Linked DNA regions of Canis lupus familiaris. The protein of the gene in region 5 purifies or fractionates together with the protein of the main gene of each other region. This does not show direct contact. Links are inferred from orthologs where the notes say so. Each region holds a gene or a part of one and is shown on either strand. Other genes may lie near its edges.

Region 1 (3,500 bases), on a different chromosome or scaffold from region 5:
AATGGTTCAGAGGACACAGTTCTGCACCCCAGTGTTTATTTTAGTGGAAAGTACTGCACAATTCTGGGAGTATAAACACTGGCTGCCAGGGAATGGGATCATGCAGAGGCCCGCTGGCCAAGTTTTCCTTTGTCTCCCTGAAGGCACCATTAGACATAATGCTTCAGGCATCTTTGTCACCCTGCAGCTGGAGCAGGTCAGAAGGGTGTTTGTCGGGGGAAGGGGGGCATGAGTTGCAGTATAGTTATGACACTACCGATCCCTTTTGGCTACGTCGGGGTCTTTGGGGACCAGAGGTGAATGCAGGTTGTGAGCTGGACAGCTTGTGACTGTGGCCCAGAATAGGTCTAAGGCAGCTTCCAGAGAATGAAAGTTCTAGACTCTGTTTCTGTGCCTTTTTTTGGTTTGGGGGACGCAAGGAGCCCTCTAATTAGGTCAGTGCTAGAAGATCCACTCACAGGCTCAGTTGGGTATGGTTTTATTAGCCATGTCAATAGTGAGCACAAACTGAAAACCATTACCTTATCACTCCATCACTGCACATCAAACATATAAGAGTACCTTCGCTCCAAGAGAAGCCTGGCTCCAGGCTAGATACAGCAGGGGCCCTTGGGGCACCTGGGGCACCAACTCTGGAGAAGTTTCTGGAGCTGAGTCCAGAGCAGTAACGTGCCAGTGTCCCAGTCCCATAGTGTCCCATGCCACAGTGTCCCTGCTCCAACCCTAAGACTTGGATACCTTTGGCCCTTTTAATACACAGCCGCCTCTTCTTACAGGATTTGTCCTCAGGCGGCTCCAAGCTCTTGCTTGGCCCACACCTTCATTAGTGTCTCTCATGGCCGCATCCTGGCTTCCTCCTGGCTCCAAATGAGAATGTGATAACCTAGGAGGAGTGAGACCAGTCTGACTCTCACCTTCTGTTATCAGACTCTGAGAACTTGGGGCTGGCCCAGGGAACCTAGGGCTTGGTAAGGAAACCAGGACACTGGACAGCAGCCAGGCACTGTCACAACCAAGACAAAACAAGAGGCATGGAGGGCCTAGGCCAAAGTGTCCACTGTCTCCTGGAAATCTTCTTTCCTGCCTCCTACCCTGGGGTGACTGGCAGGGCTAAGCTGAGGAGAGCCTGCACTCAACATTGGGGAGTAGGGTAGGGCTTGGCCAGTCTGAGATACAACCTGCTTCACTCACCCATCACAGAGGCCAGTGTGTCCCCCATAGGATTGAACTCATTGAGCTGCAGAGACAAGGGTGTAAGCATGAGGAGGTGAGATATTGGGAGAAGAGGACATGATGGCTAATTTCTGGTCATTTTTGGCCAGCTAAGGTAGGTTGAATCCCTGCTTCCCGCCCATCATTTGAGGGCCCAGACCTCACCGAAATGATACCAGAAGATTCTGGGTCATAGAGCTGATACATCATCTTCCCTGAGCTTCCGTCAAACACATCGATCGTCCTTAATTCGTGAGGGGTACAGCTTTTGAAATTGGGATCTGGGTATCGGCCCACGACAATGAGGTTGTACCGAGGATGCCAGGTTGCCTAGGAGATGGAGAGTTGTCATGAGAGCAAATGCAGAGTACTGTCAAGAGGGACCTCCGAAGTATTCTTTGCCACTCACAATTGTTGATACAAGTGCCAGCAATTTAATAATGGAAGTAAGACCCACATGAAACTACAAGAACAGCTTTCAAGTGCATGTGCATCTACCATTCCACATTTTTAATCCCAAATTGGCCTCTCTGGACCTTGGGACACCTTCAGGCCTTCTCTCTTGTATTTCCTGAGATCATACCAATCGATAGACGTTTGAACATCAGCTTGACCATTAACCAAAGAGGTAGGCCTCCAACCAAGCAAAAAGTCTCTGGTAACCAAAACCAAAAGTAGGACATAAATTCTGAAGTAATCCCACTATTGTCCCTCCTCGATCAATGTGAATGAAAGAGTTGAGCAGAAAATGGCTAGTGGCCAAGAAAAAGAAGGAAACCTATGTTCCCCAGATGATCCCACTCAAAACAAATCTGGCAGTGATTCGGAATGACAGAATCAGACGGGGGCTTTCCTAAGAAATCGTAAGGAAGTTTTGAAGGAGGAAAGACATGGTTAGCGGGAAGGAGAAAGTTGGTACAAGTCCCGCCTGGGAAGCTGGAGATTGTCCTCGCCAGACATGAAGTGGGAAATGACACATGGATCAGTGGGAACCAGCCAGTGAAGAACCCTTGTTAAGAGCTTGGATTTGACTTGAGGTATGTGAGAGCCGCTCTAAGATTAAACGATCACCGTTGACATAGTGCTTCCCAGGCACTAGCCATGTGTTTTAAGTATACCGATTCTTCCAATAACCCTGTCAGCCAGGTACTATTACTGCATTTTTAGAGATGAGGAAACCGAGATCCAAAACCCAAGCAGCTTACCGAAGGACTCCAACCAGGGGTGTTGGCCTGCCTTGACAGAGAAGTACAGGCGTGACCCCTGGAGTTCTGAAGAGGGACTGTAGTGTTCGAAAAGAACAGAAACCAGGAGAGCAGAAGAGTGGGTCTGGGGCATGGGCGGGAAGGGATCCGAAGACTTAAAGACCATCAGTGTTGGGGGCCGAGGTCAGCCAGTGGGCCAGCACCACATGCAGGTAACTGGAAGGGAGGGCAGAACAGGGGGACAAGTAGGTTGAGCAGAAAAAAAAAAAAAAAAACGGAAAGAGCTTCCGGGAGACGCAACCCAGCAAAGCGGGATCTCAGAATGGGGACAGAAATTGCAGAAAGGCCAGGGGAGAAGAGACTGTTTCGTGTGGGTGCAGGATGAGATCTGGCCTTTCCCTACCTCGGGCAGACCCGGTCCATCCCCACAATCACAGCTCCCTGCCTCCATCACTTACCTTGATGGGTGTCAGGTGCTGGAAGTGGCGGTGAGGGTGTGGGATCAGGCTTGGGGGATAGTCCCACTGGGAGGCTGAGTAAACCCGGAGCTCACTCTTCTGGTCAGTGGTCAAGAGCTGGGCTCCATCAGGACTGAAACAGGCTGGCAAGTGAAAAGCCCCAGAGCTGAAGAGAACACAGGCCTTTCCCCACAGGGGTGCCCTCTCTCCCACTCCTGTCTGGACAGGGGTGGAAGGGAAGAGGTGAATCTGGGCTGTGAACAAAAACATTCTAGAAACTTGGGGCGCCAGGGTGGCTCAGTTGGTTAAGTAGCTGACTCTTGATATTCAGCTCAGGTCATGATCTCAGCATCCTGGGACTGAGCCCCACATTGGGGCTCCTTGCTCAGCAGGGAATCTGCTTGTCTCTTTCCCCCTGCCCCTCCTCCCACTCGCACTCTCCAAATAAAATAAATCTTAGAAAAACAACAACCATTCTAAAAGCCTAGCAGCTGTTTGAGGCAGCTAGAATCAGGAATTTTCCAAGACACCAACTTGGCTGATGATCTCAGGGTAAAGGTTTGACCTAGCAGCTTCTAAATATTGAGGGGAGAAACCCCAGAAGTGGTAGGATAGGCAGGTTCTA
Region 2 (3,071 bases), on a different chromosome or scaffold from region 5:
CTGCTCTGAAGCAGGGATGTGGTGAGTGGGGGGCTATGGGCAGCCTCACAGGCCCCCAGGCCCATTCAGCTATGCTTTCTTGGCTCAGATCCATGAGAGCAGCCCCTTGGACCTGGCCAGTGAGGAGCCCGAGCGCCTGCCCTGCCTGCAGCGCCTCCTGGATCTTGGAGCAGACGTCAACGCGGCTGATAAGCATGGTGGGTGCCTCCCACAGGAAAGCAGGGCACCTGGCACCGGGTGCTTTGCGAGGGAAAGCCAGAGCACCCCAGGACAGTGGCTAGGTGTGCAGGCTAGATTTTGCTGCATTTTGCTGACCTGCAGAAGCTTTCAGGAAGTGGTGCAGCCATTGGCCCCACGCCAGCCCCTTGAGGTCTGTCTGCAGGAGGAAGTAGGGCATGCATGTGGTCAGATTCTGAGGCAGAGTTAGCACTTCTTGGCAGAGACTAAGCCCGGGTCTCAGGTAGCAGCATCTGCGTGTCCAGAAATATCCCACGTCTTCTGGCCACTCTGCTCTTGGTTCTGTGTTGGTGGAAAGGGAATGACTAGAAACCGATCACCCTCCACCTTGGCTGAGAAGTTGGTCCTTTTTAAAGTTTGCTTTCTGGGGGGTGCCCAGCTGGCTCAGTTGGTAGAGTATGTGACTCTTGATCTCAAGAGTTGTGAGTTCAAGCCCCATGTTGGGTGTAAAGATTACTTAAAATCCTTGAGGACAAAACAAAGTCCACTTTCTCATCCTGTGGTGTCCCCTGCACCTGAGGGGTGGTCCTGACCTTGGTTTCCTGGTCCACACTCCTCATTCTCTTCCTTCCATAGGAAAGACTGCTCTGCTCCATGCTTTGGCCAGCAGTGACGGGGTGCAGATCTATAATACTGAGAATATCCGGCTCTTACTGGAAGGAGGTGAGGCTGGTCCACAGGCTGTTCCCAGGCCCTTCTCTTTCTTCCCACCATTAAACATGAAGCATTACTTTGCAGGGATTTAAGACCTTCTCCTGTTTTCTCTTTTCCTGACTGGCTCTTGTAGGGGCAGATGTGAAGGCTACCACCAAAGACGGGGACACTGTGTTCACCTGCATCATCTTCCTGCTTGGTGAGACGGTGGGAGGGGACAAAGAAGAGGCCCAGATGATCAGCCGCTTCTGCTTCCAAGTCACACAGCTGCTCCTGGCCCATGGGGCTGACCCCAGCGAGTGCCCAGCCCACGAGTCCCTCACACACATCTGCCTCAAGAGCTTCAAACTGCATTTCCCTCTCCTGCGCTTCCTGCTGGAGTCTGGAGCTGCCTATAACTGTTCCCTCCATGGTGCATCCTGCTGGTCTGGCTTCCACATCATCTTTGAGAGGCTCTGTTCCCACCCAGGCTGTGCTGAAGATGAGAGCCACGTGGACCTCCTGCGCAAAGCTGAGACCGTCCTAGATCTCATGGTGACGAATTCCCAGAAACTCCAGCTGCCTGAAAACTTCGATATCCATCCTGTGGGCAGTCTAGCAGAGAAGATCCAGGCCCTTCACTTCTCCTTGAGGCAGCTGGAGAGCTATCCTCCATCCCTCAAGCACCTATGTCGGGTTTACATCCGGCTCTATCTTCAGCCCTGGCCTGTGGATGCGAAGGTCAAAGCCCTACCTCTGCCTGACAGGCTGAAATGGTACCTCCTCAGTGAGCATAGTGGTACCGTTGAAGAGGACATCTGACCACTCCCGGATGGAAGGGTGCAGGGTCTGGGCAGCTCAGCCTGCTGGTGGATTTTGGTACCTGTGGCAGCCTTAGGGGAGAACCTTCTGGCCATCTTCCGGAAGGTACAGGTTGGGAGAGGAGACTTGATCCTAACTGTGTACCAAGAACACAGGTGGAGCCCAGCAGCTGCGGTCATTCCTGTGGGAAAAAAACTCTGTCTTCCAGGGGGACTGCCCCCCCTTCTGTCTGCCAGAACCCCCAAGTCTCAACCACATTGGGAAAAGGGACAGGGTGTAGATTTGGGACAAGTGTACACCTCGTCTGCAGGGAGCATCAGGCAGGGTAGCTTTGAGTCTCTGTCCTCCTGAGAACTGTAGGAGGCTGGTCTGTCTTGCATGGGGCCCAACTAAAGCCAGAAGGAAGCATGGTAGGCTTGTGGGGGACAACCCTGCAAGGCCCTTCACTCCCAGCCTCTCCTCATGCTAGATTATGTCACATACAGAAGTGCTTTTGGTGGGCTAGGGAGAAAGCTGAGCTGACCCCTGCCACCTTTGGCCGTTCTGGGACCAGGTCACCCACGGCCCAGCCACCAAGGCACGGGACTGGACTCTGGTGGCAGCTGTCTGTGCCAAACCTGGGACCTTGGGAGACCATGTCTTCTGCTAAAAGCAATTCTGCATGACCAGAGACAGTCCTTTCCAAAATGTCTCACAATTTTGTGAGGGGTCCATCTGATGAAGAAAGCTACACTGCTGAAAGCTGACTGTACTGCCCAGGCCGAGCCCTCACAAAGCCGAGTCCCAGGCACATGGGCCCTTATGAATTGTGTAAATGCTGGGGAAGCAAGCTGAGGCAACTAAAGATACATTATAAAGTAAAACATTTCTCTTGGCCTTCAAGGTGACATTTTGGCCCCTCACCCTTCCCCAGCCTCAGATAAAGGCTCCCACTGCAGCCATTAAGAGGTGAGAAGCACTAGGGGACGGCAGCATCTGGTGGGGACAATTAACACAGCACTGCTGTCCCAGTTAAAAAAGAGTACCACTCCACACTGGCTAGGGCCTTCCCATTACAGGATTCACCCTTTTATTTTCTGACTGAAAATGCTCACCGAGGAGGAGCTGCCAGGCCCAGCCAGGAGTGAGGCTGCAGACTTGTAACGATCACATTAGGGACACCAGGGCTCCATCACCACACAGGCCTCAGAAAGCAAACATCCCCAGCAGCTGCAGGAGGTAGCAGGCCTGCCCAGGCTCGCCGTAGCAACAGGGTGACAGTGCCAGCTCCAGGCCCGGCTCCTCTCCTCCCCCCAAGGGAAAAAAGTCCTCTATGACCGAGAGTTCTCTTCCTCTTAAGGCAGCCAGGCCTACAGCTGGAAGGCCAGGTGGTACAAGGG
Region 3 (2,972 bases), on a different chromosome or scaffold from region 5:
CACAGTTAAGGAAGGCAGGCCAGAAAAGAGTTCATCTGCAGGCTCAGCCTCGCTCTCACAAACCTCCCTCCCGCCTCCCCTCCCCCAACACCCCCCCTCCTCCCCTTTGTGTTCTTAAGGAGTACTACAGAAGCAATCTACAGTCGCTATTGCAGTTTGGAACCCTTCCCCCTCCCTCCCCCCCCCCCACCCCTTTAATACTGAATGAGATCGAATGTTAGGTCCATGCAGTTCTTGGTCAATGTTAAAGAAAAGTCTAACGTTCTGTTCGCGCGGGGACAGCCCGTCCGCAAAGCGGGGCAGCCCGCGGGCAGCCGCTCCCTGGCCCCGTGCCAGGGGAGGGCGCGCCAAGTCCTTCCCACTCGTGCACACTGGGGGCGCCGTCAGGACGCCGCCCAGTCCAACTTGGATACCCTTGGCTTTAGTCCTTGGACACTTCTTGTCTCTCTCGCTCTCTCTTGCAACTTGTCAAGTTCTCAAGTTCTCTCGCTCTCGCTCTCTGTGTGTGTGTGTGGTTTTTTTTTTTCTCCTCTCTCTCTCTCTCTCTCTCCTCTCTCTCGGTTGCCCCTCAAGCCCCCGACAGTCTGTCCTCAAAACGTTTGCAACTGCTGCGTTAGCATGAGCTGGCACCCACTGTTAACGTGATTCATGACTTTCTGTTTAAGCTGTGCCACCTGTTCCCTGAGCATGTTGGCCGTGGACGCCAGCTCCGAGTTCTGCGCTTTCAAGGTTTTCACTTTTTCCTCCAGCCGGGCGATCCTCTCCAGCTTCCTTTTCCGGCACTTGGAGGCAGCTATGCGGTTCCTCATGCGCTTCCTCTCGGCCTTGATCCTCTCTTGCGACTCCATGTCGATGGGGGACAGGGGCGGCGTCTCCCCGGGCATCTCGGGCACCGTCTGCGGCTCCTCCTTCAGGGCCTGCAGGCGCGGGTGCTGCACGGGGAGCTGCTGGGGCAGGTGGTGCGGCGCTTGCGGGGGCTGCTGCGGCTGCTGCGGCTGCTGCTGCTGCTGGGGCTGCGCGGGAAAGGCCAGGCCGGCCGCGCCGTAGGAGGGCGCCCCGCCGCCGCTGCTCAGCGCGCCCGGGTTGAAGTTGCTGAGGTTGGCGTAGACCGGCGGCTCGCTGTGCAGGCCCGCGCTGAAGCCGCCGCCGCCGCCGCCGCCGCCCGCCGCGGAGGCCACCGCCGGGGCCACCATGCCCGCGCCGCTGACCGGCTGCGCCGCCGACGTGACGCTGGGCAGCGTGTTCTGGCTGTGCAGCTCGGCCAGGGCGCGCACGAAGCCCTCGGCGAAGCCCTCCTGCTCGTCCGTCACGTTCTTGGGGCACAGGAACTGCGTGGGGGTCGGCGTGGTGGTGATGTGCCCGTTGCTGGACTGGATGATCAGGCGCTCCAGCTCGGGCGAGGCCAGCTTGAGCAGCCCCACGTCGGGCGAGGTGAGCAGGTCCGAGTTCTTGGCCCGGAGGTGCGGCTTCAGGCTGCCCACCGGGTCGGCCAGGTTCAGGGTCATGCTCTGCTTCAGGATCTTGGGGTTACTGTAGCCGTAGGCGCCGCTCTCGGACTGCAGGAACGAGGCGTTGAGGGCATCGTCGTAGAAGGTCGTTTCCATCTTTGCAGTCATAGAACAGTCCGTCACTTCGCGCGGGGTTACTTTGGGCTGCGCGCAGAAGTTTCGGGGCCGCAACAGCGCGCTGGCGAGCGGGGGACCCCCGCGCCTCCCGGGTGGGGGGGGCGGCCCTGGGCTAGAGGAAAGTTTCTGGAGGGGCGCGCGCTCCCGCCGGCGGTCCTCCCCCCGCGCCCCGCTCACCGGCTCCGGCCGCCGCCGCGCTCCTCCTGGGTCAGCTGGCGCGCGCGCTGCCCGCCTCGGGGAAAAGTCGCGGTCACCCACGGGGCGCGCTCGGGGCGCTCTCGGGGCGCGGCGGCTCCCGGGGGCCCGCGGGCCCGCCCCCGCGGCGACAGGGGGAGGGGGCGCCGGGCAGCCGCGGCTCGCGCTCGCCCAAGTTCAGCCACCGGGGCGAGGGGCGCCGAGCGCACGTCCCTCCGCGGTCTCCTCGCTCCGCCGCCGCCTCTCTCGTCCCGGCCGCCGCCGCCGCCGCCGCCGCCGCCGCCGCAGCCGCCGCAGCCTCAGGCGCGGCAGAGCTTTGCAAAAGTTCGCTCCGGGACCCGGGCCACTCGTCCCCTGTGCTCCCGGCCAGGAAAGTTCTGAGCCGCCGCAGCCACTCTCTGCACTTGCGCGGACGGACCTGTCGCCGCTCTCCGCGCTGTCACGGCTCCCGGGCGGCGGGGCTCTCCTCCCGGGGGCGGCTGGAGAAGGGGGTTCTCCGGGCGCTCCCCGAAACACCAGCCCGGGAGCCACAGGCGCTAGCTCCGGCCAGTCGGCGAGGAAAATGCAAAACGGAAAGCGGATTTTGCAGCCCGGACTCTCCGGCCGTCTCGCCTGCCCGCGGCCGCCCGCCTCCCCGAGTCCGCGCTCCTCCACTCCCACCTCGCCGCCTCGGCCACACTCAGTGCAACTCTGAGCCCTTATCCAGCCGGAGCTCAACACTTATCTGCTACCAGTCAACCCCTAAAAATAGCCCATGATGTCACCCCAAGGCCTTCCCATTGGCTCGCGTCGCTCTCCAGGGGGCGGGCCCGCCCGTCGCCATGGAGACCCCACCCTAGAAGATTCTTCTCCGGCCCCGCGGAGGCTCACGGGATGAGGTAATGCTCCGCTGCCCTCCTACAGTTGGGCCCTTCTTTCTCCTCCTCCCCCTCCCCCTCCCCCTCCCCCTCCCCCCTCCCCCTCCCGCGCGGCTCGCGCCCGGCTCTGCCCCCGTCTCCTCCGCCGCGCGTCTTTCCCGGCCCGCCCGGTGCATTGTGGGCTGACGTCTTGGGATTTGACTGTCGGGTGACGGCGGCTGCCGCGAGCCGGGCGGACGCGGGCGGACGCGGGCGGACGCGGGCTCCCGCGGCCCGGGCGGGCTCCAGTTCAGGG
Region 4 (3,270 bases), on a different chromosome or scaffold from region 5:
ATCGGATAGCCAGTCTGCTCTTTTTTTTGGATTTGGTCCTCTGTACTAGAGTTCTGGCAGAAAACAGAATTACTACCACTCAAGGGTGTAATTGGAGTTTAATTGGCAAAGTTCCTGGGCTAGCAAGTGAGGTGCAGTTACTAGTAGATCTGAAGGGACAAATGGAAAGAAGGTGCTGGAACCTAGAGGGTGTGATGTTCCAACAGGAGCTGCAGCCTTGGGTGGAGGAACACAGCCTCAGCCCGCCACATCCCAGCAGAGGGGTGGGCAGGGAGTCCACTGCTGTTGTCCTTCCAGGTCAGCTTCTTAGGGTGTGCACAGAGCAGGCAGGGGGGCCTGGGTCTGGGGGCCAAGGTTAACGCTCTCTAGCAAAGCCACTACAGCTGGTCTGTATTACCCCTCACCCAAGATTTGAGTAGCTGTTACACAGCTGGTTTCACTGCTGTAGTGAACAATCATCAATCATGATCTTCTGAATCGTTAACAGAAGCAATGCAACACACAGTTCTTTCTAGTTTATTGTTTGGTAGAAAGGCTCTTGAACGCTGTATAAACATCTCAAAGTGCTTCTAGATTACAGAAAGTCAAGGCCAATTTTCTTTGAGACGGGGCCCTGTAATCTGACATTCTAAATCACCATTACAGAAATAGGAGCTGTTGTACTTAACATTCTGGAAGGTGCCTCCACAAAGTATGCTAGGACCTGTTTAAAACCTCGAGCATCTAGAAAGATCCATTTTTCCTTCCAATGCCTCTGGATGGTGATAAAAGGAGAAAGTGAGGTCTGTGGATGTTGAATGAGTCTGAGAAGGCTTTTTAATGACTGCAAAATCCAGCCTTCAATCTTTACCTCTAGAGACTGAGAAATGATTTCCCCACCTCCCTCCCTGTCTCCCCAGCTGGCTTTCTCCAGTCCACATGCAGATCTTTTTGGGACCTAGGCACTCACTGCACCACAGTCTCACCCAACCTCATCATTAGCCCTCTTGAAAGGGCTTTTGGTAAAAGAAACAGTTTTAGTTTAGTTACTGCCAATCTTTAGCCCTTAGAAAAAGTATTTTTTAAGAAAAAAAAAAAAAAAAAGGGAGGGGGGACACAGAGTATTCTAAGGAATTCAACAAGGAAATAAGTACCTTTTATGAAAAGGACTTTTGAGCTCTCTGAGCTCACAACTTAACTGAAATAACTTTACTGAAGTGTCTCCACATAAAACAGTACCTACTTCCTGACAGCTGGATGGATGGATCTGTGTACACAGAACGTCTACTTAAAATGCCCTCACTGGAAACAGCAACTGTGGCAGAAGTATAGCTGCTCCTTACTTCTTAAGTCAAATCCACATCCCTCCAGGCTGTACCCTGTGGAATTAGGTGTAGGAGAAACAGTAAAGGTCCTGCTGGACAGCCATGAGCAGCCCTGGGGCTCCCCGGAAGCCCCCGAGCCGAGAAGAGAAGGCCACACTGGGTATGTCAGCCTTAGAGGTAGGATGTGGAGAGGGTATGGTTCTGAGCAGGCAGGCGTCATGGAAGCTCCAGATTCTCGTGTAGCAGTCCTGGCCCACTGGGAGAGAGAGAAGAGACACGGAAGGTTAGTGAGCGAACACACAGGAGCACTTGTATACACGTGGACCTAGCTTCTCATGATTCCTAAGACTAGACGGGACTCCACAGGAGCCAAAACACAAACCCAAATGAAAATGATTTCTGAGAATATGTACTTCTTGAAAATCAAAAGTTGCAGGTCTGGTGCTCTAGAATCACAACTAGTCACAGGTATTCCAAGTCGCAGGATGCACTGGCTGGCTGTGTGACACCTTGGCTGGTGCACAAGGCATCCTAAGAGGTGGGTGCTCTACTTCTCTTGCATCAAGGTCTATTCAAGGGGGAGCAACAGGTTTCCTCTTTGTAAAAGAGTAACCAGGAAGATCTCTTCACTTCAAAATATCCTGGGGACAAACCAGGCGACAACTCTCACCAGAGCTGTTTCTGGTTTAATGGCTCAGTTCCTAAGACCAGCTAAGTCTTCAGGGCTCACAGCTGTGAGGAACGTGGCACCAAACAACCATTGTCTGCAGGAGCCCCGACACGCTACTGGAGACCTTCTGAGGAAGGTCTTAGGGTCTCACGGACTTTGCCACTGGAGAGGCTATGCGGCCACCGGCACTCCCTCGGCATGGCTCAGGCTGTGCGGCTCACAGAGGACTGCACTAGTCCACCACCCATGCCTGCCTCTCCGCGGGGCTCCTCTCTTTCCTGTTATTCGGAGCACAGCAGCTCTTCTGGGATGGAAACTAGGCTTAAACAGGAAGCTAACTGCTGCTGGGGGTGGAGAGTAGTAAACAAGCCTGAGAAAGTTCTAACAAAGTGATGCTTCTTTGGCACAAAAAAAGATTCATGGAGAATAAGTACATTCTGTAGGCATATCTGCACATCTGAGGACATGTCAAGACTAAGAATATATTCCTTAATGTCAAGGGCTTATTTCATGTGTCAAACCAAACCACCGAACTTTCATGATATCGGAGCATTCTGTCCTCCCAGAAACAGCAAAATCTGTGATCAACCTGTAACTCTTCAAGGGAATTTTCGATTTATTCATTTATGAGACACACAGAGAAAGAGGCAGAGACACACACAGGCAGAGGGAGAAGCGGGCCCCATGCAGGGAGCCCGATGTGGGACTCGATCCCAGGACCCCTGGAGCACGACCTGAGCCAAAGTTGGACGTCCAACCCCTGAGCCACCCAGGCATCCCATCTTCCCAGGGAATTTAGTGGCTCAACACTTCTGCTCTATTCTGTAATACGGATCCTCAGGGACGGTGTCAAGGGGATCAGGACCAGTTCTGTTACAATGACTTTAACTTCTTTTCTCAGCATGCTCTGCTGGAAAGTGAGCACAAAGAACAGGGAAGCCCACGCTGTTGAACAGGACGGGATAAGGGCCACACTGAATGCAGACCAGGTGAACACCCAGGCCTCCCAAGCTGCTGCGTTTTGTTGCACGTAGCTTGCCTGTTACTGAGGTTATGTTCTCCCACTCGTGTGAGGACAAAGGGCTGTTCTAACTGGTGGGTGTTTAACTGCTGCTCAATAACATCCTCTTCAATGTCCCACCTAGTCTCTCCAACAGTCCACAGTCCCATGTACTCAGTTCTCATGTGGAGGAGTTTCTCCCTCTGCCATTTTATCTGATGGGACAGAAAGAGCTTCCCTTCCCCAGGTACCTGCTACCACAATTCCTTCTTCCTCGTGCACATGCAGGGGCAGGT
Region 5 (4,172 bases):
CATCACTTCCAGGTTGCCTCCTGATCTGGCATGCATCACCATTTTCAGTAGAGCCAATGCTGAGATTTTGCAGTACTTAAAATAATGGTGACTACAAAACAAAAGTACAGCACAATTAACTTATATAAAACACAATTTCAAAGATAGTTTTTGTAAAGAAAACAAGTATTGAAGGAACTTACAGTGATGGGAAAGGGGAAAGAGTGTAGAAATGTGGGAAAGAAAAGGGAAGTAGAGTTCTTGCAGGGGGCTGGAAATGAAAAACATGTTGGGTCCTGCAAAGTATTTCTTTAGGGGAAAAGTATGAAATAGTTTTTTAAAATATGCTGTTTTAAATATGCTGTTCAAGTAGAAAGGAATTACATAGAATTCAATAGACTTTTTCTCCATTAATTTTGGAATCACCAAATCTCTGATTCTGAGTCTAGTTGGATGGTTGTGCCTAAAGATTCTCAGGCCTAACTTTCTGGCCTGACATCCAAATGTGGGCTCTGACATCCATCTGATTAAGTTTGAGTCTTTGCCCTGCCATGCTAGCTGTTGCCTAGAGACAATCACCGCATGCCCACGCCTTAGTTTCCTCATCTGTAAATAGGAATAGGTCACAGATTTGTTGTTAGGAAGAAATAAAGTGAAATAATTTACATAAATGCTTATCTTACTACCTCACACATACCAAAACTTAATATTAAGTGCTAGCTGTTATTAGCCTTAACCCATCTTTTATAGTACTCTCAAAAAAGTGTGTTGTTTCTTTCTGTGTTATCAGCCTCAAAATGAAAAAAGTAGCTCTAATATCTTTAGTTCTGTTTTGATCACTATTTAAAAGTTTGTCATATGTATATGTGACTAAACTACTCTTGAATAAAATTACATTTTCCGTTTCACTGATGCAGCTCAAGATCGCTGGGATGAACATAATCAGAGCCGCAATCAGACAATAAGGCACACGGATAGTTTTCAAATATTTGGTAGTCTATAGTATAGCAACCTTAAATGCATAGCCTGTTATAGAGTTAAGCAAACTGTCTTTAATAATATGGTCAATGTGTTTAAGAAGCCCCCCTCCCCTACTTTTTTTTCCTTCTTCTTTCCTGAGAAGCCTTTTTAAGATGTCTGCCCACAGATTTCAATCACAACTGAAAAATATGGAGACCTGGTCTTGGGAGTCAAGACATGAATTAATCTTGGGTCTTTATTCACTGGGGAAAAGAAAAAAAAAGTTATTGTGCTCTTATTACATACATTGTAGACCCTTTTTAATGCATTATCTCATCTAATCTTTATGAAATCACCAATGGGTGGGTCTAATTTTCTTTTTACAGGTAAAAAATGAAGATACATAAATTTTCTAGGGCCAGTCAACGAACTAGGGACACTTGTGAGGTTTGAATTTTAGTCTATTATTCACTTAAGAGTTCACTGCCTCAGTCTGATCATGAAGTAAGTTACTCGTATTTGCTTATTTTCTTATTTCCAAAAAAGGAATGAAAATACAGTACTGGGTTGTCATGTAGACTAAATAATATATTATAGAAATTCCTAAGCTCAGTGCTCAGCCCATATTAAATACTCGATAAACATGGAAGAATGTTTTGTTGTTGATCACTGCTGTCCTTTCTATCTCTCCATTTGAAGACTGCTCTTTTTACTCTCCCTTAACACTAAGGGTAAATGCTGTGGGTAGAGTCCTTCACTTGTCATCATTCCCAGAGACACAGGGCATTTGCTAAGGGGCAAACAGCTTTAAACTCTATTGATAAAATTTCTAGTTCATGTTAACTGGTGGACTAACGTTTTGGGAGCCTGGGTGGAGCCTCCTTGTATCTGAAATAGTTACCAGCAATCAACAATCGATTTATAAATGTCTAAAAGATGGCTTATAGTTAGAGACGCCAGGGCTGACTTGGCTTTTGAAGATGGGTGCAGTCTCCAGTCTCAGATAAGCTAGAGGTCTCAACAAGGTGTATATCAACACAAGGCTTAAGGCAGAGTGTGTGGCATATATATGACAATATAGATATTGAGAAATGAGAAATTATAATCGTTTGTCCTTTACCCTTACATCCCCTGGAGGCAAACGGGTTAAAGAGACAAGAAGGGGAATCGAAGCAAGACCCAGGAGAAGGGCTTTGACTCTACTTGCGGAGAAAAAGGTGGACCCAAATTTCCCGGGTGCATATTCTTCTCCCTGTCCATGAAAACACTAGCTTCCCACCCTCTGCAACTCCCACTCCCCTGGGTGTCCTAAACTCCCGCCACCCCTCCCATCCCCTGCGTCTCGCCAGGGACCTCCTCACTCCTTAGTCCAGGGCTTCGCCGCCAGTATTTCTTGCTGCTGTTTCTTGTCGTATTTGTAGATTTCATCGATACTCTGGGCTTCCTGCATGTTGTTGGCCAATTCCCAGGTTTTCTGAGCCATACCACTCCCGGACGCCGCCATCGCCGTGGAATCCGAGAAGCTGTCGCCTCCACGACCAAGACGCAACTTTACTCGGCTAGGTTCCTGGGTGTGGGCTTCGGACCCTTCCCACCACAGGTGCAAACTCGTACTAATCTCTCGAGGCAGCCATGACACCCAGAACCGGAGGTGAAGTCAGTACAGACCATTCGGGGATGGCGGGAGCGCTTCCGGGACGCCACGATACAAACAGCGGTTACATAATAGAGACAGAGGAATCCTCCTGTGGCTGAAACGAGAACATATTATCTTAGAAAATTATATGCGCGCATTAGGACAAACACAATGACGGAGCGTGAGAATGGTATAGCCTTCCGCACCGGAAGAAGGGCACGGCAACGTTATGCCAGAAACGAACGGGTCCTCTTTGTTCGCACTGCGCAGGCGCGGCCTCGGCCATATTAAAAGTGGGTTAGCTCTTTAGGCTGTGTTGGGGGAAAAAAAAAGACCTGTTTTCGTGTGGGTGTGTGGGTACCTTAAACAAAATGTTTGTTGAAAGCCTACAAAAATAAGGATGTCTGTGAAAAACTTGAGACATAAGCAGTTTTGGATGCTGGTTGAGACGAAGATACACCTGGCATCCCAGTTTACTTCCAGATGAGTCACTGCACATGCGTAAAGTTCAAAGGACCCTTGGTTGGGCTCTAAGGGTCTCTTAAGAGAGCAGTTCTCCGGCATTTCAAGAAAGCTGTGGAGACTCGTGGAAGGCTACGACAGGGTCTTTTGTCGTGTTTGTAAAAATTAACATCTGTATGAGCTCTTAGTGTTTTGAAAAGATCAGTACCCAGTTCTTAACAATTCGTTTAAGGTGTGAGACCACTTCCTATCCCCGAGGCCAAATTAATCTCAGCAACTTTTTTTTTCCCCCAACAGTTAATGCAGTGTTTAATTATTTCACTTATTTGCTTGCTTGCTTCATCTTTAATCATCCTGAAACTTTGCATATGTGGTCAGCCTTGCTTGAAATACTCTCCCCTGGCGGTTGTGTTGTCTTGTTTTTTGCCTGGGAGCTCAAATTCATCTTCAAAAACAGCTCAGGGATCTCTACCATGAAATGTTGACTTTTTCCGCTCTCCAGTAATGATTCCTTTTAGATGTCTCTAAACGTCTGTAGGTGCTTCTAGAACTGTTACGTTGCATTGTAATAATGTATTTATTTGGATTTTTTTCTTTTCACTAAAAGCTTAAGAGTTCAGGACGCGGCTCTGGGTTGTGTCCTCCACTCCTAGTACGGTACGTGCCAAATAGTTAAAAACATTAGAATTATTGAATCCACATCCCTGCCTGCAGTTTCGACATTAACTTCCATTTGAAGAAAATTTGTTTTTAAAACCCTCTTACAAAGTAACTTAGGACAAAGGATTCTTAGTTCCCCTCTGCTGGAAAGCTAGAGATCTCTTTTCTCGTGTGGCACATGGCCGTTCAGTATTGGGGGGAACCGAACATGTTGAAATTAGTAATAAAAAGGGGAATCCTGGGTGGCTCAGTGATTTAGCGCCTGCCTTCGGCCTGGGGCGTAATCCTGGAGTCCCGGGATCGAGTCCCACGTCGGGCTCCCTGCATGGAGCCTGCTTCTCCCTCTGCCTGTGTCTCTGCCTCTCTCTCTGTGTCTGTCATGAATAAATAAATAAAATCTTTAAAAAAAAAAATAAAAACCCCCAGGACAAAACATTGATGACCAGACTCCAGGAAGAGGAGAAATACGCAGGGG
Region 6 (4,254 bases), on a different chromosome or scaffold from region 5:
GGGCTCCCTAGTCAATGTATTTACAGGACAGTCAGCTATGTCTCTTCCAAAACACTAGACCCATGTCCAAGATAAATACTAACAATCACAAAAACATGAGAATATAGAGGACCGAGTATAAATGCATCCCTCCCACTGTTAAGTACAAGGTCGCCTTTGTTACTGATAACGTTATGTATGATGTCTTTTATAATGACAACAGCACAAATCCCAAAGTCCACTGCTAAACAGGAGCTCAAATTAGCCTGAAACAAACTCTCCTCCCTTCCACATCATAGGCTCTCTGATTTGAGAGAATATCCATCATTTCATCACATAGTGGTGCGGAGTAATTAACAAATCGCTGCACATTTTATAAGACACTTAGACTCAGCAATGCTAACTTCATTAACTTTTTGAGAGGTTAACCAAGGATTTGAAAATCATGTTCTGTTTATTCTTGCAATGCTGCATTTTCAAAAGTACGCAAAATAATTCATTTTCTTTCACATGTAAAAACACTTTTTCTTACCAATTAAAGTGTCTTTGGTAGAGAAATTACTAAAATTTTAGAAACTACTCCTGCTTATTAGGAAATAAATAGCTATACTTCTGTTTTCAAACCCATGAATAAATACTGAAGATGCCCCCCAAAAAAACACTATCCCAAGAGAAAAATGTCTCATATGAACTATGTGTTTATGGATCATCTGTCACAGCAAAAGGTTTTTTTTTTTTTTTCAAACAATGTCAATACAATGTTCATCCAAACAACCACCTGTAGAAAAGCTAAAGAACCATATAATTAATAAAAATGCTGGACTTCCCTCCCCATTTAGGAAAAGGGAAGAGCTACTTCTAAAGTAACATATAACTTTCCAGTGGAGGGGTTAAAAACTGAAAAAATTCAAATTCATCAGAAAATGCTATCTTAGAAACACCAGGCCTTTAAAAAATATTCATGTCAGACCCAGATCCACTTGCTCAGTGAAGACACTTAAAAAATAATAGTGTCCTACCGTTGTATTTTAGAACTACCCATTTATTATAAAGTGAACATATTTTCAGAAGAATGAATTTACTTTCAGAAGCTGAAGCTTACATTCCTTCCAGTTAACCAGCCTCAACTATAAAAACAAACCCAAAGGAGAAACTAACTTGGGCTCTTAAACAGTCCTTTCAGGAGTGCCCTTAATTAAAAAAAAAAAAATATTAATGAAATACACATACATACATATGAAAAAATATTTTAAAAAGAAGGTCCTTTTGAGATTTCTGGTGGGGTGATGACATTAACATACAAAATGCTTAGGCTTACCACCAGGAAATAACAATAGGCGTGTCACTTAATACAACACTCAACAGTTCAAATCTCATTTTTGATTTGGAGAAAAAACAGGCTTACTTTTAATATAGTAAATGAAAATGAAAAATGAAAGGTGACAAGTTCATAACATGGCCTCATTTTATTCTATTCCCTAAAAATAAAGTCAAAATCTATAAAAGTCTCAGAAAAAGGACCCACTTAGGGGCACCTGGGGGGGGGGGGCCCAGCTGGTGATCTCGGGGTGCCCGGATCAGTACCGCACCCGGCTCCCCGCAGGGACCCTGCTTCTCCCTCTGCCTGTGTCTCATGAATAAATAAAATCTTAAAAAAAAAAAATCCGCTTAATTAACAGAAAGGTTTCCTTTTGAAGAATTCACCTAGAAAGCCCCAGCGACTACCCTTGTTTCCTCAGCACGCTCAAACGCCCAATTCGCTCGCTCAGTTCGCGAAGAGGCCCACCCCTAGCTTTGTCCCTCGGCCCCCAGACTGTCATCCCCGGAAAACACTCGGTGGAAACGAAGTCTCATTTGCAGCCCCATTAAATTAATAGCGGATTCCGGTCCTTGATTTCTCAACGTCACTGCCCCCAAACCGCAAGCCCTCCAGGGTCACCCCAAGACCCACGTTTACCTTAGTTTTAGCAAAAAAGCAACAGCTCGGCCGGGGAACCAGAAGCACCGCAGCACCCACACCCTGAACCGGGTCCCGCCGCGGGCCGCGCACCGCCCGGCGCAGCCTCCAGCCCGCTCACGGCGGCCTCGGAGCGCGGGCCGGTCCCTAACTTCTGGAACTTTCCCGACGTGTTCCCCGGAACCCTGCGACCGCCGGGGACGGTGACCTGCGACCCCACCGAGCCCGGGAAAGTCCCCCCGGAGCCGAACCCCCGCGCCCGCCCCGGCCGGTCCCCGGCTTCCCCTGCGGCAGAAACGAAGGCGACGGCTCACCCTGCAGGGGGACCGGGTCCCCGGGACGCCGGGCCATGTCGGCCGCAAGCCGGGGGCCGCCGAGCCGCAGCGCTAGCGCCCGCGCCGCCCGGGCCTCCGCGCGTCACAGTCCCGGGGCCCTACCCCCGCCGCCCCGCCGCCCCGCCTCACGTGACCGCCCGCAGCAGGCGGGGAGCCCCCCGCGCCCCCCCGCGCCCCCGCGCCCCGCCCGGCCGCCTACCCGAAGCCCCAGGAGGGCAGCAGGGCCTGGCTCAGGTGCGCGCGCAGCTGGCCCAGCGTCGGCTCGGCGTCGGGCAGATCCAGCGGCCAGGTCCGCTTCTGGAGCCGCACCCGCAGCTTCATGGCGGCGGCCGGAGGCCCGGGGGCCCGGGGGGGGCGGGGGCGACTACCGGAGCCGCGAGGGTGCCGAGGAGGAGCGGAGAGAAGGCCCCGCCACGGCCCCTGCCGGCCGGTCTCTGGAACAGGAGCGCCTGCCCCTCGCGTGAGGGCGCCCCCTGGAGCCACCCCGCGGGCGGGCGGGTGGCGGGCGGCCCCCGCCCAGCCCCGCGGCTCGGCGTTCTGCGATCGATGACTCGGCGCGCAACGGCGCCGCCTGGGCGTGAGAGGCTCGCAGTGCGCAGGTGCCGCGGCCGCCACGCGGGGCGGGGGCGGGGCCGGGGGCGGGGCCGGGGCCTGGGCGGGGCGGGGGCGGGGGCGGCGCGGCCCCTTCGTGGCCAGGGCTGTGCCGGCTCCTCCCAGGCGGCCGCGGAGGACGTTCCGTCGAGGGCGCGGCTGCGGGGTGCGTGACTCGCCGCTCTGCGGGCCCGGGCGTGCCGGGCTCGTGCCGCCTGCGCTCCGCGGCGCTCAGCTCCAGCCGCAGGCCTCGGCTCTGAGAAGCCTGCGGTGCAGCCCAGGCTCTGCCCGTCTCCTCGTGGAACAGCAAAATATGAAACAGCTTGTGGTCCCCTGATCTGTGTCGGAGACGAGAGGAGTAGTGTGTCGCTCAGCAATCACCCCAAAGCTTCGCAGCCTAAAACTACGAATATTAATTGTCCCAGAGGTTCTGTATGGGCACGGCTGGGTGGGTGGGTCTGTCTTGGTCTCTAGAGATTCCAGGCAAGATGTAGGCCGGGGCTGCAGTTACCTGAAGCCTTGACTCAGGCTGGAGAACCTGCTTGCAGGAGAGCTCCCCCGACTGTGGGCGGGAGGCCTGGTTTCCACGGCGTGGACCCCTCCGTAGGGCCAATGGAGTGTCCCCGCGACACGGCATCTGGCCTCCCTCCTAACACGTGGTCCCGGAACGACCAAAGCAGGAGCTGCGATGTCTTTTGTGCTCTAGCCTCGGAAGGCAGGCACCACCACTTCTGTCATTAGAGCCAACCCTTCAGTGTGGGAGGATCAACCCAAGGGCATGAATAGCACTGGACAGGGATCACTGGGAGCCGCCTGGGAGAACCCTATCCTGGGGAGTCGGACAACAATGATGATAACTTAGGGAATGGTCAGATTTCATCCTTGTATGCTAGCCATTGTCCAAATCATTATTAGAGTTGAATGAAGTTTCTCCCAGTAGGTGGCAGTACTTGTCCACGTCCTGATCTTCAAACAGGCATCAACACCTACTTTGGGCCAGGTATTATTCCAGGTGCCTGGGGACTCAAAGAATGAGTGCAGAGTTTACAGTTGAATGAATCAACTCTTGTAGTAGAGTGTAATGATTTTTTTTATTATAAAGAACAATCCCGAGGGGTGGGGTACATACAGAAGAGTGATTGTGCCCCTAAATTCTTTAGTGGCAAGCAATATGAGATTAAGGAAGGCTGGTAGGAGCAGGGTGGCTCAGTGTGACCAGAGGGAAGGACAGAGTGGGTACTTTTCCAGATAAAGCTTTGAGCTAAGCAAAGGATTTGAGACACATTCTAGAATGTATGGGAAGCCAATGCAGAGTTTTAAGCAGGGGATTCTTTATCAGGTTTCTTGGTTCTGAGCAATAGAGATTGAGTCTGGCTGACTAACAGGGAACAT
Region 7 (4,184 bases), on a different chromosome or scaffold from region 5:
TATGGTATTTCTCATAATTTCCAGTTTAAGCAGAAGACATGCCACAAAATTGTCTCAAGTAATAGATAAGTTAGGAAAAGACTTTCAGAGCCCCACTCACCAAGAGGGAAAAAAAAAAGAAATAAAAAAACTACTCCTTTATTGTGATGAGCCAAATCATAGTGCCTAATAGGAGACCAAGCTTGGATTCAGTTCAGGCAGGACGCGGCAGCAAGCAATGCACATTCAAGGAGACAACAATTTGGTTTTAGAGAATCAGAATTAGTCCATTCTTTGGCTGGACCCTCAATCAACGGCTGATCTTCACCAGAGGTAGAAACCAGCTCCCTCTCCTAGCCAAATCCTGACAAACACTAAACAAGCCTTGCCTGAGGACCTCTTATGATCCAGTCCCTGAGTATACAAAGACAACCCTTGCCCTCAAACAGTTCCCAATTGGCCTAGTGGGTGAGGCAGACAATTAGAGGACAGAGTGATAAAAGCTGCTGTAGGAACACAGAGAGACACCTGCACAGCCTAGGAAGGTGGGGTGGAGTAGAGAAAAGGTGGAGGTGGGGAGTTACAAAAAGCTTCCAGAGAAAATAATAGCTTCCAGAGAAAGTAATTCAATTTAAATCTGTGAGGGTAAGTGGGAATTAGCCAGGCAAGAAGAGTGGGAGGGGGCAAGGGGCCCAAAGAAGGAAAACAGGGCGCAGGTTTAAATCCTGAAGGTGAGAAAGACTAAGACATACTTACTATCTTCAAGGAAACTCGTTCTCAGGGAATAGTTTGTCCTAACCAAAACCCCTAGAGTATTGAGGGAAATCAAGGCAGCATCTCTGTCTAAAATCTGGTACAGTAATTCCTAGGCCTCTTAGCACCAGGCCTGACTTACCCCTACTTGCTGTTGGAGTGGTAGCTACTGATAATTCTTACTTTGAGCCACTAGTTCAGGAACTGGGGGGGGGGAGGTGGAGGGGTGGGTATGAGGAGAGATAAGCATGGGAAATAAGGTAATGAGAAAGAAGTGAGATAATACTTGTGCACATGTGACCACAATACTGGACAATGCTACAGGAACCAGATAAACTAAAGCAGAGTTTGGGAAAGGGCAGTCAGTTGAATGAACCCAGCCAGCTGCCTATTTTTATAAATAAAGTTTTATTGGGGTGGGGGAGTGCCTGGGTGGTGCAGTTGTTCAGCGTCTGACTCTTGGTTTCAGTTCGGGTTTGATCTCAGGGTAGTGATATAAGGCCTCATGTTGGGCTCCATGCTCAGTGCAGTCTGCTTGAGTTTCCCTCTCCCTTTGCCCCTCCCCGCTGCACGTGTGCACTCTCTCACTGAAATAAATAAATCTTTTAAAAATAAGAAAGTTTTATTGGAATACTGCCATACTCATTCATCTACATATTTTTTGTGGCTGCTTCTGTGCTAAAACAACAGAGTTCAATAGTTGGGACAGGCCATATGGCCAGCAAGAGCCTAAAATATTTCCTATGTAATCGTTTACAGAAAAAATAAATTTCTGATCCTTTGCCCTTGAATATACTAAGTACTAATAATAGATATATGGAGACTGTTTAGTGGTGGCCTAAGGGAGGAAGTGATTCAAAACATGCTACAGATTTTCTGTTCCTAGTCTGTATCAACTTTGATATGGACCTCAAAACATGACAAGAGAATATTCTTTAAAATTTTTTTTTAATTTTTATTTATTTATGATAGTCACAGAGACAGAGAGAGAGAGAGAGAGAGGCAGAGACATAGGCAGAGGGAGAAGCAGGCTCTATGCACCGGGAGCCCGATGTGGGATTTGATCCCGGGTCTCCAGGATCACGCCCTGGGCCAAAGGCAGGCGCCAAACCGCTGCGCCACCCAGGGATCCCCGAGAATATTCTTTAATAGAATGACTAAATGGGAGTATATTTGCACAAAGAAATACTACACGACAGTGAAAAATTAATTACAGCTATATGCATAAATCACAAAATTAATGTTACACGAAAAAGGCAATAATTACAGAATATATGCAATTGACAATTTTTTTTTGTAAAGCTCAAAATTAAGGAAAACAATGGATAGAAAATATAGAAGGGAAAAAAACAAAACAAAATCCAGGGTAGGGGATTGCTCTGGGGGAAGCAAAGGGGAGAACTTAGGTAGATTCAAAAGCATTGTTAAATGTTCTAGTTCTTAGTTTGGTGATGGATTCATGGGTGTTTGTTTTCTTACTATGCTCTATAAATTATATGTCACACATATTCTTCTGTATGTATTAAAATTGTATAATAGTTTTTAATTTTTATTGTTATTATTTTTTTCTTTAAAGATTTTATTTATTTATTCATGAGAGACACAGAGACAGAGACACAGGCAGAGGGAGAAGCAGGCTCCATGCAGGGAATCTGACGTGGACTCGATCGGGGTCTCCAGGATCATGCCCTGGGCTGAAGGCTGCGCTAAACCGCTGAGCCACCCAGACTGCCCCTATTGTTACTATTTTTTTAAGTAGGCTCCAAAACAGTGTGGAGCCTAATGTGGGGCTTGAACTCATAACTGTGAGATCAAGACCTGAGATGAGATCAAGAGTTAGATACCTCACCTCATTTGACTTTTACTAGTTTATTTACTCACCATTATCTTCTGAGATGGCTGCATCATCTCTTCCATTCCCTGATTCAGAGGGCTGTGACATGGTCCATCTTTGGAGGACTACATTAGAAAATAGAGAATTCAGGTTAACAGCAGTTCTCTCCCATATCTCTAGTTTTCTGGATCCATTGACTCTGGTCTCAATCAATTGCATCCTATTTCATATCTTCAAGAAAATACTCACAATTTTGGCTGGCTCATCACACCCTTCCCGGTTATCCCTTATGGTTTCGGGTCTAATATTTAGTTTTCTTCTTTCATTTAATGCTAACTTGGGAGAAAAAGCACAATTGTTCAGACTAACATCTAAAATTGGAAATCTGCCATGCCCTTTTAAATTACTATGGCTCGTGCCCCCCCACCCCACTCCCACACCCACCCGGGGGGGATTCCAGGCCAACAAACAGACCCTGGTCAAGGGGTCCTCCAGCTATTTCAGAGGGTCTCAAAGTCCAATCTCACTATGATCCAAACCAGGTCTCTATCTTCTATATTGGCCTCTTCATCAGACTACAGAGCCATGGTTGTTGGGATCCCTCTTCCACGCCGTGGTCACCACCTGGCTGAGAATTTTCTCTGCAGGTAACTATGGCTCTGACATGCTTTTGCCTAACTTACCCATATCACCAGTGAATAAAAGCTATAACTTCTATAGCAACATATCTCTTTTAAACGTCTGAGAATAACGAAAAGAAGTATACCACAAAATAATTTAAAGTGGCCAGAGATGAGCCTTGGCTTAAAGTCTCTTGGCTCCAAGTCAGGCACACAGCCAGTAAACTCCTAAAGGATACCCTCCTCTTTCCATAATCTCTAAGGAGCTTTTAACGCACTGCCCCAAGACCAACAGGATTTGTTGTGGTTACCAGCGTTCTGTTAACATCAGAAAACCAACGGCTAGGAATGCGGACAACAACTGACCACCGACGACCGTTAGGCATGCTAGCAATTCGCGGGCTTTTTCCTAAGAAAGTGCTGCCCACTGAAGCTTGAGTTCTGGTGCTTTTAACGGTTTTCAAGGATGATTGATTGACAGCAGATCTGACCAATCCTTTCATGGGAAACCCCACTCGCCTAACAGGGGCCTGATTGGAACCAAAAGCAAAAACATAAAACTCGGTCATCTCTCCACCTCTCTTTTCTGTATTGCCTCATTCTCTAAGACTCCTTCACATGATAGAGACATGGTTACCAACTGCTTTGGGGTCACATCCTTACAGTTTAATGTCCAAAGAAAGGAAAAAGCTACTTCTTTACCTCTGATTTGTATTATTCCAAGGAAGGTCTTGTATCTCTGGCCTAGGACACATGCCTACCCTTTGGAGCTGCCATTGTGTCCAGCAGAGTTTGATATTATGATTAGCCCATCCTGGGTTAGGTGCAGAGCTGGGTCTGTGGAGGGTGCAATGGGGCAAGTTACTATCATTACCTGTCCCACCAGTACTATATTGAAAGGACAGTGAAAGAGAAACAGCTCTCCAAATGAAAAGGAGTGCTACTACTAGAAGCAGGGAAGAAAGAATGCTGGGCAAATCAAAACAGCAGATGTCCAC

What was found.
Region 1: the proteins of COPS5 (region 5) and DDB2 purify together in Homo sapiens (affinity purification with mass spectrometry; 10 studies listed by BioGRID and IntAct, counting the BioPlex papers as one, with this or other methods). This does not show direct contact. The link is inferred for Canis lupus familiaris from reciprocal best matches to the Homo sapiens genes COPS5 and DDB2.
Region 2: the proteins of COPS5 (region 5) and ASB6 purify together in Homo sapiens (affinity purification with mass spectrometry; 3 studies listed by BioGRID and IntAct, with this or other methods). This does not show direct contact. The link is inferred for Canis lupus familiaris from reciprocal best matches to the Homo sapiens genes COPS5 and ASB6.
Region 3: the proteins of COPS5 (region 5) and JUN purify together in Homo sapiens (affinity purification with western blotting; 3 studies listed by BioGRID and IntAct, with this or other methods). This does not show direct contact. The link is inferred for Canis lupus familiaris from reciprocal best matches to the Homo sapiens genes COPS5 and JUN.
Region 4: the proteins of COPS5 (region 5) and DCAF4 purify together in Homo sapiens (affinity purification with mass spectrometry; 4 studies listed by BioGRID and IntAct, counting the BioPlex papers as one, with this or other methods). This does not show direct contact. The link is inferred for Canis lupus familiaris from reciprocal best matches to the Homo sapiens genes COPS5 and DCAF4.
Region 6: the proteins of COPS5 (region 5) and FBXO7 purify together in Homo sapiens (affinity purification with mass spectrometry; 3 studies listed by BioGRID and IntAct, counting the BioPlex papers as one, with this or other methods). This does not show direct contact. The link is inferred for Canis lupus familiaris from reciprocal best matches to the Homo sapiens genes COPS5 and FBXO7.
Region 7: the proteins of COPS5 (region 5) and CUL4B purify together in Homo sapiens (affinity purification with mass spectrometry; 12 studies listed by BioGRID and IntAct, counting the BioPlex papers as one, with this or other methods). This does not show direct contact. The link is inferred for Canis lupus familiaris from reciprocal best matches to the Homo sapiens genes COPS5 and CUL4B.

What each region holds. Positions count from the first base shown.
Region 1 is NC_049239.1:42,779,111-42,782,610, forward strand, and holds the end of DDB2 (DNA damage-binding protein 2), read right to left. Parts: intron 3,019-3,500; coding exon 2,876-3,018; intron 2,634-2,875; coding exon of another isoform or gene 2,583-2,633; exon of another isoform or gene 2,294-2,582; intron 1,543-2,293; coding exon 1,378-1,542; intron 1,238-1,377; coding exon 1,192-1,237; intron 884-1,191; coding exon 834-883; 3' UTR 463-833; downstream 1-462.
Region 2 is NC_049230.1:54,248,449-54,251,519, forward strand, and holds the end of ASB6 (ankyrin repeat and SOCS box protein 6), read left to right. Parts: intron 1-88; coding exon 89-197; intron 198-813; coding exon 814-900; intron 901-1,024; coding exon 1,025-1,692; 3' UTR 1,693-2,571; downstream 2,572-3,071. UniProt on the Homo sapiens protein: Probable substrate-recognition component of a SCF-like ECS (Elongin-Cullin-SOCS-box protein) E3 ubiquitin-protein ligase complex which mediates the ubiquitination and subsequent proteasomal degradation of target proteins.
Region 3 is NC_049226.1:51,325,840-51,328,811, reverse strand, and holds JUN (transcription factor AP-1), read right to left. Parts: upstream 1,833-2,972; 5' UTR 1,617-1,832; coding exon 591-1,616; 3' UTR 501-590; downstream 1-500. UniProt on the Homo sapiens protein: Transcription factor that recognizes and binds to the AP-1 consensus motif 5'-TGA[GC]TCA-3'.
Region 4 is NC_049229.1:46,643,819-46,647,088, reverse strand, and holds the end of DCAF4 (DDB1- and CUL4-associated factor 4), read right to left. Parts: coding exon 3,226-3,270; intron 1,561-3,225; coding exon 1,367-1,560; 3' UTR 501-1,366; downstream 1-500. UniProt on the Homo sapiens protein: May function as a substrate receptor for CUL4-DDB1 E3 ubiquitin-protein ligase complex.
Region 5 is NC_049250.1:17,045,640-17,049,811, forward strand, and holds the start of COPS5 (COP9 signalosome complex subunit 5), read right to left. Parts: upstream 2,801-4,172; 5' UTR 2,782-2,800; intron 2,776-2,781; exon of another isoform or gene 2,691-2,775; 5' UTR 2,444-2,690; coding exon 2,301-2,443; exon of another isoform or gene 2,293-2,300; intron 92-2,292; coding exon 1-91. UniProt on the Homo sapiens protein: Probable protease subunit of the COP9 signalosome complex (CSN), a complex involved in various cellular and developmental processes.
Region 6 is NC_049231.1:32,004,198-32,008,451, forward strand, and holds the start of FBXO7 (F-box only protein 7), read right to left. Parts: upstream 2,801-4,254; 5' UTR 2,593-2,800; coding exon 2,471-2,592; intron 2,379-2,470; exon of another isoform or gene 2,288-2,378; coding exon of another isoform or gene 2,251-2,287; intron 1-2,250. UniProt on the Homo sapiens protein: Substrate recognition component of a SCF (SKP1-CUL1-F-box protein) E3 ubiquitin-protein ligase complex which mediates the ubiquitination and subsequent proteasomal degradation of target proteins and plays a role in several biological processes such as cell cycle, cell proliferation, or maintenance of chromosome stability.
Region 7 is NC_049260.1:93,267,725-93,271,908, forward strand, and holds the start of CUL4B (cullin-4B), read right to left. Parts: upstream 2,801-4,184; 5' UTR 2,786-2,800; coding exon 2,614-2,785; intron 1-2,613.